2 linked regions of the Cricetulus griseus genome follow. The protein of the gene in region 2 binds, or shares a complex with, the protein of the main gene of each other region. Links are inferred from orthologs where the notes say so. Each region holds a gene or a part of one and is shown on either strand. Other genes may lie near its edges.

Evidence for each region. Proteins that work in one complex are often made in the same cells at the same time.
Region 1: the proteins of Lrrc7 (region 2) and Camk2a are in contact, whole or in part, in a crystal structure (PDB 6X5G), measured with the Homo sapiens proteins. The link is inferred for Cricetulus griseus from reciprocal best matches to the Homo sapiens genes LRRC7 and CAMK2A. Residues at the interface, in NP_001357714.1 of Homo sapiens: His843, Gly844, Arg845, Arg846, Pro847, Leu848, Ile849, Arg850, Gln851, Asp852, Arg853, Ile854, Val855; in NP_001350919.1 of Homo sapiens: Glu96, Phe98, Glu99, Ile101, Val102, Lys137, Glu139, Leu159, Phe173, Ala174, Gly175, Thr176, Pro177, Gly178, Tyr179, Leu180, Ile205, Gly209, Tyr210, Pro211, Pro212, Phe213, Trp214, Tyr222, Gln224, Pro233, Glu236.

Annotation. Positions count from the first base shown.
Region 1 is NC_048595.1:178,171,542-178,177,181, reverse strand, and holds the start of Camk2a (calcium/calmodulin-dependent protein kinase type II subunit alpha), read left to right. Parts: upstream 1-1,777; coding exon 1,778-1,839; intron 1,840-5,640. UniProt on the Homo sapiens protein: Calcium/calmodulin-dependent protein kinase that functions autonomously after Ca(2+)/calmodulin-binding and autophosphorylation, and is involved in various processes, such as synaptic plasticity, neurotransmitter release and long-term potentiation.
Region 2 is NW_023276806.1:1,194,340-1,199,834, forward strand, and holds the start of Lrrc7 (leucine-rich repeat-containing protein 7), read left to right. Parts: upstream 1-2,291; coding exon 2,292-2,388; intron 2,389-5,495.

The DNA.
Region 1 (5,640 bases), on a different chromosome or scaffold from region 2:
AGAGGGGCCCCCTGGTGTCTCTAGGGCCCCCTACCCTAAAGCTCTTGTTGGTGTTGGAGAATAATCAAGGTACCGCTATGTCCACAAGTGAAGTAAACGATACAGTGATTTATGGATTCTGAGGGGTGAGTTGAAACTGAGAGAATTTGAATTTCCAGGTCCTTTTATCTGCCCCTTGCTCAATGGGGACAAATGCTGGCGTGAGACCTCTACATAGCCATCCGTGAGACATGCTGAGGCACCTCTTTTTTTTCCTCTGAAAGGGGAGGTGGGTGCTCAAGACCCAGATGCATTGTGGGAGTGGTCATGGACTCAGTTTAAAACTTCCTTTTTCGCTTTCTAGACACTGAGAGCCATTCAGGTTTGTCAACTGCCCAGATCCCATTTATGGCCCTTAGGCCATTCCATCTTTATGGGAGCCTTCTGCAAGCATGAATTTCTTCCTATTGTCTAGAAAATGATATGGGGGCTCAGAGAGCTTCCTCCTTGACTTTCCCAAGCTCACGAAGTTAATAAGTGCCAGAGCTGGAACTTGAACTCAGACCCATGCTTAATCTTAAACTCCATGCTTTGGGGCATGATTTGTGGCTACAGGTGTGGTTGGTATACCGAAGAGGTGATGTCATCAGGGAAGATGACTAGAGTTTGGGAAAGAAGAGTCCAGGACAGGATATATCCATGCCACCGGCCCAGGCCCGGGTGAGCCAGGCCATGCTTACCTCATTATAGTTGCCTCTTTCCAATCCTACCTTGACACGAAGCACAAGCTGAAACTGGGACATGAGCCCCAGGAGACCAAATCTACATGGTTCCTCTAGGGGCATGGGTGGGGAGAGCTTGGCGAAGAGGCCTCAGGAGGGGCCCAGCTGCACAATGATGACAGGTAGGGGTGAGAGAGCAGCCAGAGCCATTCCCACAGAGTCCTGGGTTTGGCTCTGCACTTCTCCCCCAGGCTAGAGTGACAGTGTGATACACACAGTGGCTAAAAAGCAGGGAGAGCGGGAGCAAAATAAGGACAGAGGCAGAGGCCAAGTCAACTAGACCAATTCCCAGAGGGAGCAGAGAAACTGCAGAGACTACAAGGGGGAAGGGAAGGAGAGAGATGAATTAGCCATCATTCCCCTGTAAACCTTAGAACCCAGCTGTTGCCAGGGCAACGGGGCAATACCTGTCTCTCTAGAGGAGATGAAGTTGCCAGGGTAACTACATCCTGTCTTTCTCAAGGACCATCCCAGAATGTTGCACCCACTAGTCGTTACCATAGCAACTGCCTCTTTGCCCCACTTAATCCCATCCCGTCTGTTAAAAGGGCCCTATAGTTGGAGGTGGGGGAGGTAGGAAGAGAGAAGATCACTTGTGGACTAAGTTTGTTCTCTTCCCCTTCTCCATCCCCCTAAGCACATCACCCTGGGAAAACAGGGTCCACTTGCTCCGGGGCCCACACAGTTCTGCAGTATTGTATATATGGGGCCAGGGCAACACAGGAGCAGGTTTTGAAGTGGAAGGCAGGCAGGTGTTGGGGAGGCAGTTACCGGGGCAACGGGAACAGGGCGTTTCGGAGGTGGTTGCCATGGGGACCTGGATGCTGACGAAGGCTCGCGAGGCTGTGAGCAGCCACAGTGCCCTGCTCAGAAGCCCCAAGCTCGTCAGTCAAGCCGCTTCTCCATTTGCACTCAGGAGCACGGGCAGGCGAGTGGCCCCTAGTTCTGGGAGCAGAACAGCAGCATCCCAGTCCTAGTTCCCAGCCTAAAGCCTCGCCTGCCTGCCCAGTGCCAGGATGGCCACCATCACCTGCACCCGATTCACAGAAGAGTACCAGCTCTTTGAGGAACTAGGAAAGTGAGTCACACCTCAGGGAGTCTTGGAGGGCAGGGGATCAGCCTCTGCGGGCAGGGGGCGTGTGCCTATGTGGCTAGAGCTGTCCCGTGCATGCAGAGGGAAGCATGCTGCATGGTTTGGGGACACCAGGTGTGCACAGGGTGTCCAGAGTCAGGCATTGACACATTTATGTGCCCATCTGGCCTGTGTGTGTGTGTGTGTGTGTGTGTGTGTGTGTGTGTTGAAAGGGTAATAGATTGATGGTATACATACACAACTGTGTATGTAAGTACACATGACCTGGGTACACAAAGATTCTTAGAAACTTGGGGTTTTAAAGGGATTTTCCCACTTGGCTGGGTCCAAGCTGGAATCCTTTCTGTAGTTGAACTTAGATACCTTGCAGTAATAGAGTTCACCATCTCTCGCCTGGAGATCCTGACTTTAGACACTGTACAGAGTGGCACATCCTCTCCTCCTTTCCCAGTTCCCTACCAGGAACAAGGGCTTCAGTACTGAAAGGGTTAACATGAAAGAGATTGTGGTGTTGGGAGGAGGGGAGGAACAACCAGCAAGCTGGGGGATGCCACTGTGGCAGTGGCACAAAAAAAAAATGGTGATCCTTTGGCAAGTTACCCATCGTGTTGTGCCTCTGATGTTGAGAGAAGGGTGGGAAGTAGAAAAGAAAAGGTTCCCTAGGGTAGATCAGCAGGCTATAGATATAAGGGAAGGTTTCTAGATGTTTCCAGCTGGGCTTGTGGGGGTCTTGGGATAGATCAGAAGTTGGGGAGCAGTTTGGCGGAGTGCTCCACGGACACAGAAGTGTCCATACCAGCCCTGTTTGGTTCCTGCTGTAGCAGTGAGAACGTGAGACAAGGGCCCCTGTGAACAGATGTGTGCCAGTGTGAGATCTGGAGGTACATGTATCAGCAAACATTTTTGAGGAGAGACTATATGATTTCCATGGGAAGCAGATGGAGTTGTATAAGAACTGACACTGGGCACAGTGTGAGCTGAAAAGGCACGCAAATACTGGTGCAAGTAAACCATGAAGAGATAGATGTGCAAGTGTGTCGTCTGTGTGGAAAGCCTAAAAATGTCAGTGTGCCCTGCAAGGGTGTGTGTGTGCAATTATGCAAGAGATGCTCTTGGTTAGATTGCAGCGAAGGTATGGACATGCATCTGTGTGCACATGTGTGGCAGGACAGAGCTGAGTGAATATCAGTGAACGTGTGTGTGTGTGTGTGTGTGTGTGTGTGTGTGTGTGTATAAGGTGTATAAGGTCACAGATGAGAAATGTGGACAGAATGTTCTTGAGTGTGCATGCATTTTGAGGAATATGTATAGGAAGTGTGTGTGTTTGTGTTAGGTCTGGACTCATGGACTCATGTGGGTGCTGTGGGGATGTGTGAGCTTATGCTGGTGTCTGCATATGTGTGGGAGGTGGACCTATGGTTGTGTGTAAGCATAGCCCCTGAATACACACACACACACACACACACACACACACACACACACACATACACACACACACACACACACGCACACGCACACGCACACGCACACGCACACGCACACGCACGCACACACACACACACACACACTCAAACTATCCAGACACCCACACATATCCCTCTTGTGCAAATGTGTGTTCATGTTTGTTTCTAGACTTCCTGCTCTTTTGCATGCCTTTGCATTGGACATGGGGGGCAGGAATACAATTTTGAAGGCTGCTGTGGTGGACTGTCTTAACTTTATCTGGGACCCCATTCCAGAGAATGTCTAGTGCTTACCAGGAACCTAAGGGTTTCCTGAATGGACTGGAGCTGCCTTTCAGGAACCCCCAAAGCTGCTTTTGGCAGGACTGCGTCACAGAGCACAATGAGATGGAGTTGAGCTGTGACTCCAGTGATCAGAGTGACACCAAAGTGCTCTTTTGCCCTGATAAGAGATGGGGATCATTAGGACTGGGCTTATTTGCCTGACTTGACCTTCTCAGCCTGCTTGGATGCTAAGAGGTGCTAGGGTAGAGGCAGAACTAAGGGACAGGGACCGGCGCTTCGGCCATGGCAGGAAAACCAAGGGTGGCAGGGATGCCCAGGCCTTGTCCAATCAATTTCAGACCTCTTCCTTCCTGAAGTATTGGTGCTCTTAACCTTTTTTAGGTCATTTATTCCTCCGGGAATCTGATGAAAGTCTAAATAGACATTCCCTGGAAAAATGCACAAACCTACAAAATGTTGTGTGTGGTGACAGGGCCTGTGAGACCTCAGGAGACTGTGCATGAACCTGTTCTTGAAGATGCTTGTGCAAAGGAAAAGGGGCTGTGGTGGGCCAGCTTCATGGCTTGGGTATCTGTGTAACACAGACCAGGGTGCCCTGTGGAGGAAGAGTCCGATGGCTTTTGCTCCTCACCTTAGCCTAAGTCTGAACTAAGGTGGGGGATGTTCAGGGAGGGGCTGTCTCACATGACCCTTCTCTCTGTGACATTGGGTGGGCTGCCACTTTTTCTGACCTGCAAGCTGGAACTTTAAAGAGCTGTGAGGGTGATATAGATGGTGTGTGAAGACATAGCCTCAAGCCTGACACACAGTGGGCCTCTGGAGGACATTGCTGCCCGAGTGGCTGTTGTCCTCAAGGATTGGGCTGGCCTAAGGGAGGAGGCAGAGCCTTCTTGATGTTTACCTTTTGTGTAGAGGGTATCGTGTTTAGGGGGATGTTGGTCAGGCTTCCTTGGGCTCTTCTTCCATGATGGAAGCAATGAAGAAATCTGAAGAGGTCACCCTTCAGTTGATGATCACGTGTCTTCTAGCTAGGACACTGTGTGGCTACCCAGATGCTGAGCCCTCATCCAGAACTCTGTCCACATAACCAGCCTCACCGAGTCTAAAAAGAGACTATACTTGACCTCTGTCAGGACTCTGGGTTGCCACAGCATAGAAGAGGGCTAGCATTTTAGCAAGATTTACTGGCATTCTGCCCAGTGAAGACTGGCTTGTCACCAGTGGCCTTTGAGGAGCCTAGGGTGTAAGCAGAGATTCCTCTCCTGCCTGAATATAGCACTAGATAGGAGTTTTTGTAACTTCTAGATGCTATCAGACTAAAGGCCCCCTCCATTCCCTGGCACTGAAGCACACAAATTAAGAGAAGCTAAGAAGTTGATGGGGCTGTTTCTAGGTACCCAGAGGTGATTTCACTCCTTTCTCCCTCTCTGGGATGAAAGAAATAGAAGCGTTCTCTTGGAGTGGGTTACAGTGCCTGCTACAGGCCCAGAGTGGTCCAGGATAGCCCTCAGAGTTCCCTTCCAACTCACTCATCTTTCTCTGATGTCCAGGACCAATGGACAGGAAGGGTGGTGGAGGTAGTGGTGGTGGGGAGTAGAGAGAGGCAAGGGAATCCCTAGAGAGCTCAGGCAGCCCCCCTCCCCGGGAGTGGGGTAGGAAGCCTCCTGTAGTCATTGCCTCCCCAGGCCTCCATCCTTCTGACCTGCAGAGATTATTGAGACTTGCTCTGTGGGTCTACAACTGCTACTCTGGGCAGAAGGAACCCCAGGAGGAGATTCTACTTGACAGAGAGAGAGAGAGAGACAGACAGACAGAGAGAGAGAGAGAGAGAGAGAGAGAGAGAGAGAGAGAGAGAGAGAGAGAGGAGGAGGAAGGAGGGTGGAGAGAGCTCAGCCCACTCTTTTCTCTCTAGAAACAGGGAGCTGAAGTTGACTCAGGCAGTACAGGGTAAGGGAGGCTGGTGGGAGTGTGGGTGGCCAGAAGGTTGACAGACACTTGGGGGCTGGCCCCTGAGCCCAAACCCCTTCCTCCACAGCTT
Region 2 (5,495 bases):
AATTGTTTTTTCTTTTCTTTTTTAAAATTAGAAACAACCTTGTTTTACATGTCAATCCCAGTTCCCTCTCCCTCCCCTCCTCTCCTGCCCCACCCAGCCCCCATCCCAACCCTTTTCTGCTCCCAGGGAGGGTGAGTCCTTCCATGTGGGATCTTCAAAGTCTGTCATATCATTTGGGGCAGGGCCTAGACCCTCCCCGTGTGTCCAGGCTGAAAGAGTATCCCTCTATGTGGAGAGAACTCCCAAAGTCCATTCATATACTAGGATTAAATAATGATCCACTACCAGAGGTCCCACAGATTGCCCAGACCTCCAAACTGACATCCTCACAACAATAATTATTGTTCCTAATAATAAAGAAATCCTTTCAGATTCACCCAGTAGCATGGAAAGAAACAGCAAGTCAATTCTTGAAGACTAAGCTTTGAAATGTTCAGGACAAATTCTTTTTTCCTAAAGGGTGACTTTCTTCATATATATATATATATATAATATATATATATATATATATGTGTGTGTGTGTGTGTGTGTGTGTGTGTGTGTGTGTGTGTGTGTGTGTGTGTGTTTACTTTCAAATAATTACTCTTCCTTAATAACTTCCTTTTGGAGTGATTGCACTACTGTGATAAGTTATCATAGACTGAGTGGCTACATGATGGACATTTGTAACTAGCTCATAGTGTTGAGACTGGGAAATCCATGATCAAGGTGCAGTCAGATTTGCTTTGGGGTAAGGTCTTCTTCCTGGTGATAGTCTTCTCACTGGCCATGTGTGGGAGAGAGAGAGAGAGAGAGAGAGAGAGAGAGAGAGAGAGAGAGAGAGAGAGAGAGAGAGATTCTGCTCTCTTTCCCCACCTTAGGAGGACAGTGATCCCACTATGAAGACCCCACCCTTATAACATCCTCCTAGATCTAATTACTTCCAAATACCTTTATATTGGGGGTAAGACACATTCAGTCTTGACATTCTCTTATTGGACTGTGTATGAGCTTTGCTTTGTCCACATGGTGTTGTGCACACGTGTGTGTGTGTGTGTGTGTGTGTGTGTGTGTGTGTGTGTGTGTGTGTGTGCACATATATGTATATGTCCATGTGATGCCAGAAGACAAAGTCAGTTGTCATTTCTCAGTCCACTTGTATTTTTTGAGATGGGGTTTCTGTACTGGAACTTGTTGAGTTAAGAACATGCCATCACACCTAGCATTTTTTTTTACACGGTTTTTGGGGGAAGATCAAATTCAAGTCCTTGTGCTTATGGGGCAAGGACTGGCATTTCTGGGCTGTTTCTCTAACTCCATGTGATATCTTTTTAACATTTTAAATCAAATTGTCGTTCAAAAGCCAAGTGCTCTCCAGCTTACCATGCCCCATGCTCTGATGGGGAAGGTCCTTCTGTGTATGTTTATCTTATTGGTTGTTGAATAAAGCACTGTTCGGCCAATGAGGTAGCAAGTTAGGCAGGAGTAGGAGTCAAGAGGATTCTGGGAAATGTGGTAAAGTCTTGTGATCCAAGCAAGAAGTGACATAGCAGGCAGACTCAGAATAAAAGCAGGGACAAGCAGGAAGTTGCTCTCTTCCTCTTCCTGCATCTCTCTTCTCTCAGAGCTGCCATGTGAGTCCAACAAGAGAGGACACATTCAGCTGGTGTCCTCAATAAGATAAGCCTTTATAAAATATATAGGTTAAGAAATCCTAGTTATTGGCCAGCAGCATTGTACCCAATATAAGTCTCTGTGTTATTTTGGCCGCCCACATGGCAGTAGGGCTCTGGCGGCTTGGTAGAAAGATTTATCATTATAATGCTCCCTGGTCATCTTAGATACTCTTAGTGGTGTGGACTGTAAAGCTTCTGTCAGTATTTAAACTTGAGTGTGATATGTCCATTGTCAATCAAGATTCATGCAATAAAATACTCTTGGTCTACCCTGAACATGGATGTCAATGAGGAGGCCTCTGCATTCTAGGGGGACCCTGATAGGGGATTAGTATTTTTCCCTGGTGTAAGAAGATACTTTGAGAGCCCATCTCACGTGAAGGAATGCACTCTTGCCCTGGACACATGGGGAAGGGCCTAGGCCCTGCCCAGGATGATGTGGTGGACTTTGCAGAGCCCTCACTGAGGGCCCCACCCTGCCTGGGGAGTGGAGGGTGGATGGGGTGTGGGGGTAAATGGGAGGTAGGAGGGGTGAGGGAGGGAGAAGGGATTGACATGTGAAACAAGCTTGCTCCTATTTGAACTAATAAAAAATAAATAAAATAAAATAAAATAAAATAAAATATCTCTTACAGGATGGAGAGCCTAATGCGGGGAAGAAATCCCCCACAATATCAGCGAAGTCCCTGCAAGGAGGCTCGTGCAGCACTTCGGAAGAGGCCTGAAGAGGAGTGTAAGTATGTCTAATCATAACAACCATGCTCTAGGTAGATTTTCGGTGAATGGCACAAAAAATGAATAGGTTTACTTTTATAAGCTCAGGTAAATTAGAGAGATAATCAAAAAATATATATTAAATTGACCTGTTTTGTTTTGTTTTTCAAGACAGGTTTTTTTCTGTGGCTTCACAGCCTATCCTGGCACTCGCTCTATAGACCAGGCTGGCCTCGAACTCACAGAAATCCTCCTGCCTCTGCTTCCCAAGTGCTGGGATTAAAGTTGTGCACCACCACCACCCAGCTGTTTTTTTTTTAATTGCAACAATTACAAGTGTTGCAAGCCCCATTTTCTCATGAGTACTCCTCTGGTACTTTAGGGACTTCCCATGGCATTTGGATTTTGTGTTAAATGATAACAGAAAAGTCCACACCGTACTCTAAATCTTTCAAAATCTCTCTACACCATACATACCAATGTTCTGAGGAGTTCTGAGGTAAAGAAACTTATGAAATGTGCTTAAAATCAACATTTTACAATTTCTTTTGGACTGCCGTTCTCTTTTGAACATTTTTTTCTTTCTTAAAATGCCACACTCTTTGAAAAACACTGTGTTTCTAGGGAATTAAATGTCTAAGGGTATATGTATGTCCATTTGTCAAACTGAAATTTTTGATTTAAGGGAATTTAGTAAAACGTTTTGAAAGTCAGATGTTATAAATGACACTGTAAAAACACTTTAATCCTGCCCCAAATTATTTTATATTAGAATGTGTAGTCATCTGTAAAGACTTTATTTAAATATTTATATTCCATAGCCTATAACAGATTGTTGGAGACTTTTGACATGATATTCACATTTGAAGTTTGTGAAATGACTCGTGATCCTAACTTTCCTTGTGGTATTTGCATATAGCTATTTTTGGCACACTAAATTATATTCCATTATGACAAACACTGATCTGAATTTTGTCCAATTTTAAGAACTTACATTTTGTAACTATGAAGTTAATGCCGAGCTCCACAACATAGATGGCACAGTGAATTATTAACTTTGTATTTGCATTTTAAATTAGTTTGAAGTGAGGGTAAGTATCACAGCCTGCATTCACAGGAAGGGAAGCACTTTCACTGTGTGTTGTGCAGCAACGTCAGTCTAGACCTCTTCTCGGTGACTTCAATGTCATTCACTGAAGTGTTGATCTTTGCACATGGTGGAGTTGTGTCCTATTACCATGTGAACAATATCTGGTAAAAGCTAAAATGTAAAAGTGAACATGTTCAACAATGAGCACTCTTGAAGATCATTACTTTTAACTATCACCTCTCTTTTACTAAATTCCTCCTCTTCTGGTTCAATACGTCATCTTCATCTCTGGTATAGGTCTATAGATTTCACTTAAAAACATGGAAGTAAGATATGTGGGTACATTGGTAAATGGTTCCCAGAGAGTTTCTGTTCTAACATAAATAGTGATTTCCATGAGTGCCCTTTTAGTGATTATATAGGCCAATAGTTACTCTACTGCAGGTTACTATGGTATCCATCCCGATGCCTCTTTCCATCAGAAATACTTTATAGCAACACAGGCATCACATGTGTGTTTAAATGTTCTGTAGATCTACTTTTGGCTTCACAGAAATACTTAAGTATCTACAACTCAGGCCAAATGTTCCACAGAACAAAACCAAAATCCTTTATCTGGTTCTTTTTAGGAAAGTTGTACTTATATATTTGCTTTTATTCTTTGAGACAAAGTTTCACTAGGTAGCCCAGAGTGGCCTCCAACTGATGGCATAACAGGCCAGCCATACCACATGGTTTGGGAAAGATATGAACTCCTATCTGAAGTAGTGGTTCTTAAATTTTGACATCTGAGCCAGCAGCAGGTAGATCACCTGAGAACTCACTAGATGAGTAGAGTCAAAGGCTTAGGCCCAATCTTGCTGAATAAATATCTATTAAGACTAGAGTAGTAGTCTGTAGTTTAAGAAGCCATATTTGAGACTGAGATGCAAGGTTAAGTCTGAAAACCACCAGCTAAGCAGGTGATTGATGGCAGATGATAGTAAGCCATCAGCTTCACAAGACTAATGATGATAGATAAACTATCTCATACTTAAGCTTAAATTTCTTTCTGGTGTAAACTATATATGTTTATTATGATACTTCATCTGTAGCTAAGAATTTTATTACTATAATTGCTGCAAGTCCTCAAGAGAGGACTTCCATACGTCTCTCTCTCTCTCTCTCTCTCTCTCTCTCTCTCTCTCTCTCTCTCTCTCTCTCTGGTGTGTGTGTGTGTGTGTGTGTGTGTGTGTGTGTGTGTGTGTGTGTGTGTGTGTTTCTGTGTTTCTTCCCCCAGAGATCTAGACTGCCCCTTGTTAATATAGTGAAAAGAATGAGAAGTACTCTCTGAGCTTTGATGGGGAAACATTATCTCCTGGTAAAAAGACACCATCGTTTTAATAGTAGAGATAGAACATTGTGGTATTTAATACTTTTGAGGCTTGTAAAAAGGTTTATTCTCTATCACAACACACGCAACAATAACCAGATGCAGTTCACTGTGTGTTATTTTCATTAAAAGACTCAGTTTATATACTTCTAAAATAATGGTGATGGTGGGTCACAGGACTGTTGTGAGATACGGATTTATATGAATTGTGTTGCACACAGCCTGAGACATAGAAAGTTTTCTTCGGCCTTTTTATTTCTTCTCCTTCCTCTAATTCTGTCTCTTTTAGCTTGCTAGTATTACTGTCTTATGTCAAATTAATCTTTTTCTGAGGATAATAGAATACATTTTGTGTAAAAATTGTGAGTTATCCACAAATTCATGAGATTCCAGCTTCAATTCCCAGCAATGTCAAAAACTGAAAATTCATGCTATTTTTTTTTGAAAAAAATGATATGTGGGGCATTATAAGTTCCACACAGATGGTATCACACTGACCTTGAAATCGCTAGACTGTAATTCATGTCATCTGTCAATGCAACTAACACTTGGTGTAGTTATGTCCTCTTGATTCCACAGGTTCAGCCTAGGGTCCTTCCCACATCAACTGCTCAGTTCCCAGGTAAACTTACCTCAGAAATTGGCATCACAGAAATTCTAGGAG